2 linked regions of the Elephas maximus indicus genome follow. The protein of the gene in region 1 interacts with the protein of each later gene in a biochemical or structural test. Links are inferred from orthologs where the notes say so. Each region holds a gene or a part of one and is shown in the gene's direction. Other genes may lie near its edges.

Region 1 (3,743 bases):
ACGTACGACCCATGGAGTGCCTGACTTTGTTTGTGAAGTGTTTAGTAAAGCTTACTTACTGCAGTGTCACCAGATAGTAATGACTCTCGGGCCGCTGGGGGCTTACCTGGATCCCTAGTGCGTGTGATGCTGTAATACGCCCTGCATAAACAGAAGAGACATTGAGTCCCAGGTTTTTAAAAGGGAACCCTGCTCCAGGGGACAGAAGCAGAGTGTCAGAACCAGCCAAGAGTAAAGGTATCCTCCGCGCGGCCCTGTTGTACCCTTTTTGCTCGTTAGAGAAGTGAGGCCGAGCCTATCTGTTGACCCAGAAACTAGAAAGCGAGCAAAGCAACCAGCGGCGGGAGACGCTCACGAGGGCCACAAGAAAATACGGCCGCTGTCGGGAGCCGGGAGGCTCACAACTCTGCTAGTTACCTAAAACCAGGTAGGGGTGGAGAAGCCACACCTGGAGACGGGCGTGCCTCGCTCTCGGTTCCCCGCAGAGCTGAGGTGAGGAATGGCAGGAATTCTCGCCTGTGGCCCCCAGCTTCGACCAGCCACCGCCATTTCCAGCGCTGCTCCCGGAGAAAAATAACCAGCAAGCACGTTGCGGCTCCTTTAAGGCTCCTCCTCGCCTTCCCGCCCCCCCGATCACGTGACGCGGGGCGGCCGCGCGCCGGCTCGGCCCCTCGCGCGAGCGGCGATGGCGGCGGCGGCGGGAGCTGCAGCGGCGGCGGCGGCCGAGGTGCGGAAGGGGAGGGGGAGAGGCGGGTGCATGCCCGCGCGCGCGCCCGGGGGAAGCGCGCACCCGTGCAATGCTCCGGGGGTGCAACGGGGCCGGGGGGCCCGGGCGGGACTTGGAGCAATCCGGGGGGCCAGCACCGGGGGCGGATGAGGGGACCAGGGGGTGGGAGGTGGGGGGAGTGGGCACGGAGGCGCGCATGCAGCCGCCGGCTGCCCCCGAGTGGGTGGCGGGCGCCGCGGCCCCAGCGGCACGCGCGAGGGGCACGAGGGGCCGTCCGCCGGGCTGGGGGGCAGCGGGCGCTGGAGGGGTTGGTGCCAGGGGTCCCCGCGGCCTGGGGGACAAAGGGGGAGCGGCGCGTACAGCCGGGAGGAGGGGGCGGGGCCGGGGCGCGGAGGCCCCGCCCCCTCCCCCTCCTCTTCTCTCTGCCCCAGAGATGCGGGGTCTACCGAGAGGGAGGGGGCTGATGCGGGCTCGGGGGAGGGGTCGTGCAGCCCCTCCGGGCAGCCGAGGCCGCGGAAGGGGGGGCACCCATAGGGGGAGAGGTAGGCCCCGAAGCCTGCTCTCTCTTCCCAGGGCCCAGGCGTCCTGGGCCCCCCAACTCCCTACTGGGCTGACCAGCTCTCCCGTCCCCTGTCTCCCCTCCCAGGGGGAGGCCCCCGCTGAAATGGGGGCGCTGCTGCTGGAAAAAGAGCCCAGAGGAGCCACCGAGAGAGGTGAGTGTGCGGCAGAAACGGCCCACTTGAACCTTCATCAACCCCCAGCACAGGATCCCGTGAGTTCTTAGCCCTGAACTTTTTTATCTTTCTTATCAGTTCATGGCTCTTTGGGAGACATTTCTCATAATGAGGAGGCCCTACCCAAGGCCAGCCCTGATCCCCTGGAGCCGGCAGGCCCCTCATCCCCAGCTTCTGTCACTGTCACCGTCGGCGATGAGGGGGTTGACACCCCTGTGGGAGCCACACCGCTCATTGGGGATGAGCCTGAGAGTCTCGAGGGAGATGGGGACCTCCATGGGGGCCGCATCCTGCTGGGTGAGAGGCTGGGGAGCCTGGGGTCGGGGGGAGTACCATGGGGGGGTCCTCCGAGCCTTCCTTGTTATTTTACATTATGTCTGCCTGTACGTCTTGTCTTCTAGGGCATGCCACAAAGTCATTTCCCTCTTCCCCCAGCAAGGGAGGCGGGGGTGCCTGTCCCAGTCGGGCCAAGATGTCAATGACAGGAGCTGGGAAGTCACCCCCCTCAGTCCAGAGCTTGGCCATGAGGCTGCTGAGTATGCCAGGGGCCCAGGGGGTGGCAGCAGCAGGGCCTGAAGCCCCTCCGGCCACCACCAGTCCAGAGGGGCAGCCCAAGGTCCACAGAGCCAGGAAAACCATGTCCAAACCCGGAAATGGACAGGTGAGGGTGGGGGCAGGGTGGGGGGAACTAGGGTAATTGACCATAAAGCCCTTGTGGGCTTTTTAAAAACTTAATTTCAGGTCTCTTGTAGCTCATTTACTTATTTACCAAGGACCTGTTTTTGTTGCCTGTCAAGTAATGGGCTGGGGCCTAATCTATGAACAGACGCTGTTCTTCTTAGAGTTTATTTTTTCAGAGAAAAGGAGGAGAAAAAAAGACATGTTAAAGAGTTAATTGTATAGTTAATGTCTTAATTATTTTTGTGATAACGAGTATGTAAAGGAACTTCAAGGCACTTTTTCTTTCTACCTCTAAGCAAGCCCTCAGGGGGATGTTTCCCTCCCTTTGAAACCTGTCCCTGCTCCGTTTTAAGGTTTTATTGGGAATTCCTACGGGAAAGAATGTGAGGGCCACAGAAATGGCAAAGAAGGTAAATCACAAAGTCCCCAGAATCTCAGAAGCTTTATGGTAGGGTTTTTAAGGGCTTTTGGTATGATCTGTCCTGAATGTAAGGAGCCCTGGTGGTGCAGTGCTTAAGTACTCAGCTGCTAACCGAGAGGCTGTTGGTTCGAATCCATCAGCAGCTCTGTGGGAGAAAAACATGGCAGTCTGCTTCCATAAAGATTTACACCCTTGGAAACCCTGTTCTACGGAGTCGCTATGAGTGGGTTTGGTCCTGGATGTGGTTTTGGCCGTTTTCTCATCTGTAAAATTGGAGTAGAGGGTCAATGATTAGAAAGATAAGTAAGTGCTTGATATGGAAAGTGGTTGATATCTTGTTGTTATATTCTGGTTCTTGGAGCACCAGATGGCATTTTTGAGGGTATGTCTCACCAACCTGCTCATACCTGGGACTCCAGGCTAATCAGCAGAACTGTAGGTGCTCCCTGATCCCAAATGCTCCCTCTCACCCCCAGCCCCCAGTCCCTGAGAAGCGACCCCCTGAAGTACAGCATTTCCGAATGAGTGACGACGTGCACTCTCTGGGGAAGGTCACCTCAGGTCAGTTTCACCTACTACCCACCCGCAGCCTGACAGTAGCCATTCTTGAAGGTGTAGGGCACAGGCCTCATCCCTTTCATTCTCTCCTTCCAGATGTCGTGAAAAGGAGGAAACTGAACTCTGGAGGTGGTCTGGTAAGCCAGGAGAGGCAGGGAGCGAGGCCTTCCCACCTTGGGAGGGAAGGACTGCTTCAAGGGTGTAGACTCTGCGGCCACACCCTGCGTCCTCGAAGTGGGGGCTAATGGGAGTGGTTACCAGCAGCCTCAATTTTTCTGATCTTTTTCTAGTCGGAGGAGTTGGGTTCTGCCCGTGGCTCAGGAGAAGTGACCCTGCAGAAGGGGGACCCTGGGTCCCTGGAAGAGTGGGAGACGGTGGTGGGGGACGACTTTAGTCTCTACTATGATTCCTATTCTGTGGACGAACGCGTGGACTCTGACAGCAAGGTGAGGTCCGCAGGCCTGCCCTCCCCCACCAGCACTCCCCCAGGTCCAGGGGTTTCTCACCAGTCTTTGTTTTACTGTTTATTGGCTTTTTGTTTGGATTTTATGATTCTCTTGCTCTATAATGCTATATAAAATGCTTTAAAAATCTAACACAAGTACTTACTGGATTGTCTTAA
Region 2 (3,743 bases), on another chromosome or scaffold:
GCTCCCCCTCAGTGTGTCTCCACTTGGCCGTAACCCCACTAGCTCCACATTCAGCTGTGCCCCCCTCTCAAGATGCCCCATCTCTAGATGTGCTCCCCACGTCACGGACCGCCATCCCCTTCGTATTTCTCGTGCACCTGTAGCTCTCTCCTCCCCAGATTTGTCTCCAGTATGTAGCTGTCGCCCCTCTCCCAAACGCGAGCCCTGTATCCCCCGCATCTAGCTGTAGCCCCTGCTTCCCAGAGATGCTCACATCTCCAGATGTGCCAGTTACGGACCCTGCACCTACAGGTGCGTGCCGCATCCACTGTGGCCAGTTCTGCCCCTGATATTTATCTGTGGCTCTTCCACACGCACAATCCAGCTGGAACCCTATCCTTCTCGCTACGGCCGCCATCCTCCCCAGATGTGCGTTCTCGTCTGAAAATATCCCCTGATCCAAATGGGCTTCTTCACCCCCGACGCTTCCCCACATCCAGCCGCACCTCCCCCCACTTTGTTCAGCCTCATCCAGTCCGCTCGCGCCTCCCCAGCCCCTCCCAGCCCCGCCCTCAGAGGCCCCTCCCAGCCCCGCCAACCCACCCAGCTGTGCCTCTCCCCTCCCCCAGATGTGCACCCTTCCCGCCCCTCCCCATTCACCTACCCGCCCCGGAGCGGCGTCCGCCTCCCACAATGCTCCGCGCCAACGCCCGACCGGGCCCTCGCTCCCGGGATGCCCCGCGCGGTCTCCCGCCTCTCTTCCCGCCGTGCCTCGCGCAACCTCTTCCTCCTCGAACCGCTTTCTTCCCCGTCCGTCACTCCTCGGACCCGCAGCCACACCCGCAGGCCGCTTCCCAGCGTGCTCTGCGGAAGGGTTCGCCCTACTTCCTCCTCTTCCTAGGCCACCTCCCACTCGGGGAACTACAACTCCCAGCGTCCTCCGCGAGGACGGCGGCCTCGGGCTGAGCGGAGGTCTCTCGGGTCCCGCCCCTCGACTAGGCTCCGCCCCCGGCTGCGAAGTCTGCGCGCGAATTCCGTGGCGCGAATTTGGGTCTGCAGTCGCGCGCGGAGCGGATCGGAACAGCGGCGTGGGGGGCCAGCACAAGGTCAGTGGGGCGTCCCGCGCGGGGCTGGGGGGCTGGGGTGGCGCCCGTGCCGAACGTTCGAGGCCCGTGGCTTCGCTGGGCCCGGGGTTGCTGCAGACAAGCTGGCGTGGGGGAAGCTGAGGCAGCGGAAAGGGGCTGCGAAGCATTGGAGGGGCGGGGCGGTGTCCGCGCGAGGAAGTGGGGCCAGGGAGAACGTAGACGAGGTCTGCAGACTATGGGACTGGAAAGGGCCTGAGGACAGTCCGGCTGGAGGGGTGGTGCCATCCAAAAGGGGCAGGGACAACAGTCATGGTCGGGGGCGGGACCACCCCGAAATAGGAAGTCTTCGTTGAGGGGCCCTGAAAAGGGTTGTGGATGGTCGGGGCCAGGGAGAGCGTTGTCGTGGGCGAGGAGAGGGAGCTGCTATTTATAGGAAGGGTAGGGAGCCGTGCAGCCAGTTGGAAAGGGTGGGCCAGACCGGACGGAGGTGGGCCCGGCCTGGTAACTGGTAAAGTCCAGGTCTAGGTGAAGAACTTATGAAGGGGTGAGGAGCCCTCTGGGTAGGGAGGGGTCTGGTCTGGTGTTTGCCTGACAAGGGGGCGGAGCCAAGGAAAGGGTGAGGAAGGGGCAGGACCTGGAAACGAGTGGGGCCCAGTGGATCGGAATGGGCCAATGCACCTTATGCACAGCCGCCACCCGTCTGTCAGTGGAGGCCTGCGTGTTGCTTTGGTGCTGAACAAAGACGGGCTAGGAAGAAAGGCCTGGTGATCTACGTCTGAAAATCAGCCAGTGAAAACGTCATAGAGCACAGTTCTATTCTGTCACACGCGGGGTCAGCTTTAGTCAGAATCAACTCTACAGCGGTGAGTTTGCCTTTGGTTTCGTGTAAACAAACCGTAATGCCTCCTAAAGTAGAATAAAACCACTGTAGGATGCCGTCAAGTAGATTACAACCTTATAGGACAGCGTAGAATTGCCCCATAGGGTTTACAAGGAGTGGCTGGTGGATTCGAACTGCTACCCTTTTCGTTAACAGTTGTAGCTCTTAACCATTGCACCACAGGACAGAGTAAAACTGCCTTCTAGGGTTTCCTAGGCTGTAATCCTCATGCAAGCAGATTGCTAGGGCTTTCTCCGAGGAGCTCCTGGGTGGGTTTGAACCACCAGCCTTTCAGTTGACAGCCGAGCGCTTAACCATTGCACTGCCTGATCATATGGTCGGGGACTGGATTTCTTTTACTGTTTGTCCCCAGAGCTCCAGCACACCAAATGTCTTGGAAAATGTGTGTTTGGTGGGTTTTGTGCATGGCTGTTCCTCAGCGTGTGCAGAGATGAATTGGCCACAGTCCCCCACGGGCTGCCAGACTGGCTGGGAAGAAAAGATACAGACTTTTAAAAACGCTTTACGTAGGGGATCGATGAGAACTTTCTAAAGTGAGGGACCTAACGGGGCTGTTCCGATCACTGTATTACTTACTGGTGTTCCTGAATTCTGAGCTTTGGGTTGTGTACTTTAATTTTTATTACTAATTTTAGGTTAATCACTCTCTTTTTTCTTTTTATTATAAAAATTTTCAAATATACAGAAAAGTGGAGCGTAGGATAATGATGATATACCCAGCACCTTGATTTTACACTTATTTAGTTCACAAGAATTATTTTTTGTTATATTTTATTACGTATGTTTCAAACATATATGAAAGTAGAGCGAGTAGTGTAATAAACCCCTATGGACTCGTCACCCAACCCTGTAATTATCAAAATATGTCTGTTCTTATTTCATCTATAAATGTGAAAAAGAACGAGTTGTCAGAGGAGAACTGTGCTCCGTAGGGTTTTCAACGGCTGATATTTCGGAAGTAGGTCACCAGGCCTTTCTTCCAAGGAGCTTCTGGGTGGACTCTCACCTCCAAATTTTGGTTAGCAGCCAAGTGTGTTAACCATTTGCACCACCGGGGATTCCATTTCATTTATAGTCTCCCTCTACTTGCAAAAAAAAAAAAAATTATTTTAAAGGAAATTCGGACATTTGCTGAAATATTTTAAGTAATATACAGACGTCATGACGTTTATTTTATCAAGTGTCTCTAAGCAGGAAAAATGTTTTCCTATATAACAACAATACCCTTTTCACATCTAACAAAATTAACAATAATTATTTGAGATAATTTGAAGTTGTAAATGGACATGAAGAGGAGCCCTGGTGGCACAGTTGTTAAGCACTCAGCTGCTAACTGAAAGGTTGGCGGTACAAACCCACCAGCAGCTCTGCAGGGGAAAGATGTGGCGATCTGTCTGCATAAAGATTACACCCTTGAAAACCCTATGGGGTAGTTCTACTTTGTCCTGTAGGGTCGCTGTGAGTCAGAATGGACTGTCGACAATGGGTTTGGTATTTTGTTTTTTGTTTTTTTGATAAGGTTATGACATTAGATAGCACTGACTCGTAAGTTAGTCCTGTACATGCTCTTTCCGTTTATTTTCTTTAAAGAGAAGTCCTTGATTTGGTGCTAGCGTGTCTTTCCTGCTCTAACTTTCACCAAAAAAAAAAAAAAATACCCCATTGCTGTTGAGCCAGCTCCGACTCATGATCACCCCATGTATTACAGAGTAGAACTGCACCACAGGGTTTTCTTGGCTATAATCTTTACAGAAGCAGATCGCCACACCTTTCTTCCA

The links.
Region 2: of the proteins of EHMT2 (region 1) and LIG1, one has a biochemical effect on the other in vitro, tested with the Homo sapiens proteins (3 studies listed by BioGRID). The link is inferred for Elephas maximus indicus from reciprocal best matches to the Homo sapiens genes EHMT2 and LIG1.

What each region holds. Positions count from the first base shown.
Region 1 is NC_064819.1:93,416,505-93,420,247, reverse strand, and holds the start of EHMT2 (histone-lysine N-methyltransferase EHMT2), read left to right. Parts: upstream 1-1,160; coding exon 1,161-1,440; intron 1,441-1,539; coding exon 1,540-1,758; intron 1,759-1,862; coding exon 1,863-2,122; intron 2,123-3,039; coding exon 3,040-3,124; intron 3,125-3,217; coding exon 3,218-3,258; intron 3,259-3,411; coding exon 3,412-3,567; intron 3,568-3,743. UniProt on the Homo sapiens protein: Histone methyltransferase that specifically mono- and dimethylates 'Lys-9' of histone H3 (H3K9me1 and H3K9me2, respectively) in euchromatin.
Region 2 is NC_064829.1:100,826,793-100,830,535, forward strand, and holds the start of LIG1 (DNA ligase 1), read left to right. Parts: upstream 1-932; 5' UTR 933-1,085; intron 1,086-1,423; exon of another isoform or gene 1,424-1,927; intron 1,928-3,743. Other genes in the region: uncharacterized protein ZSWIM9, read right to left, coding at 254-255.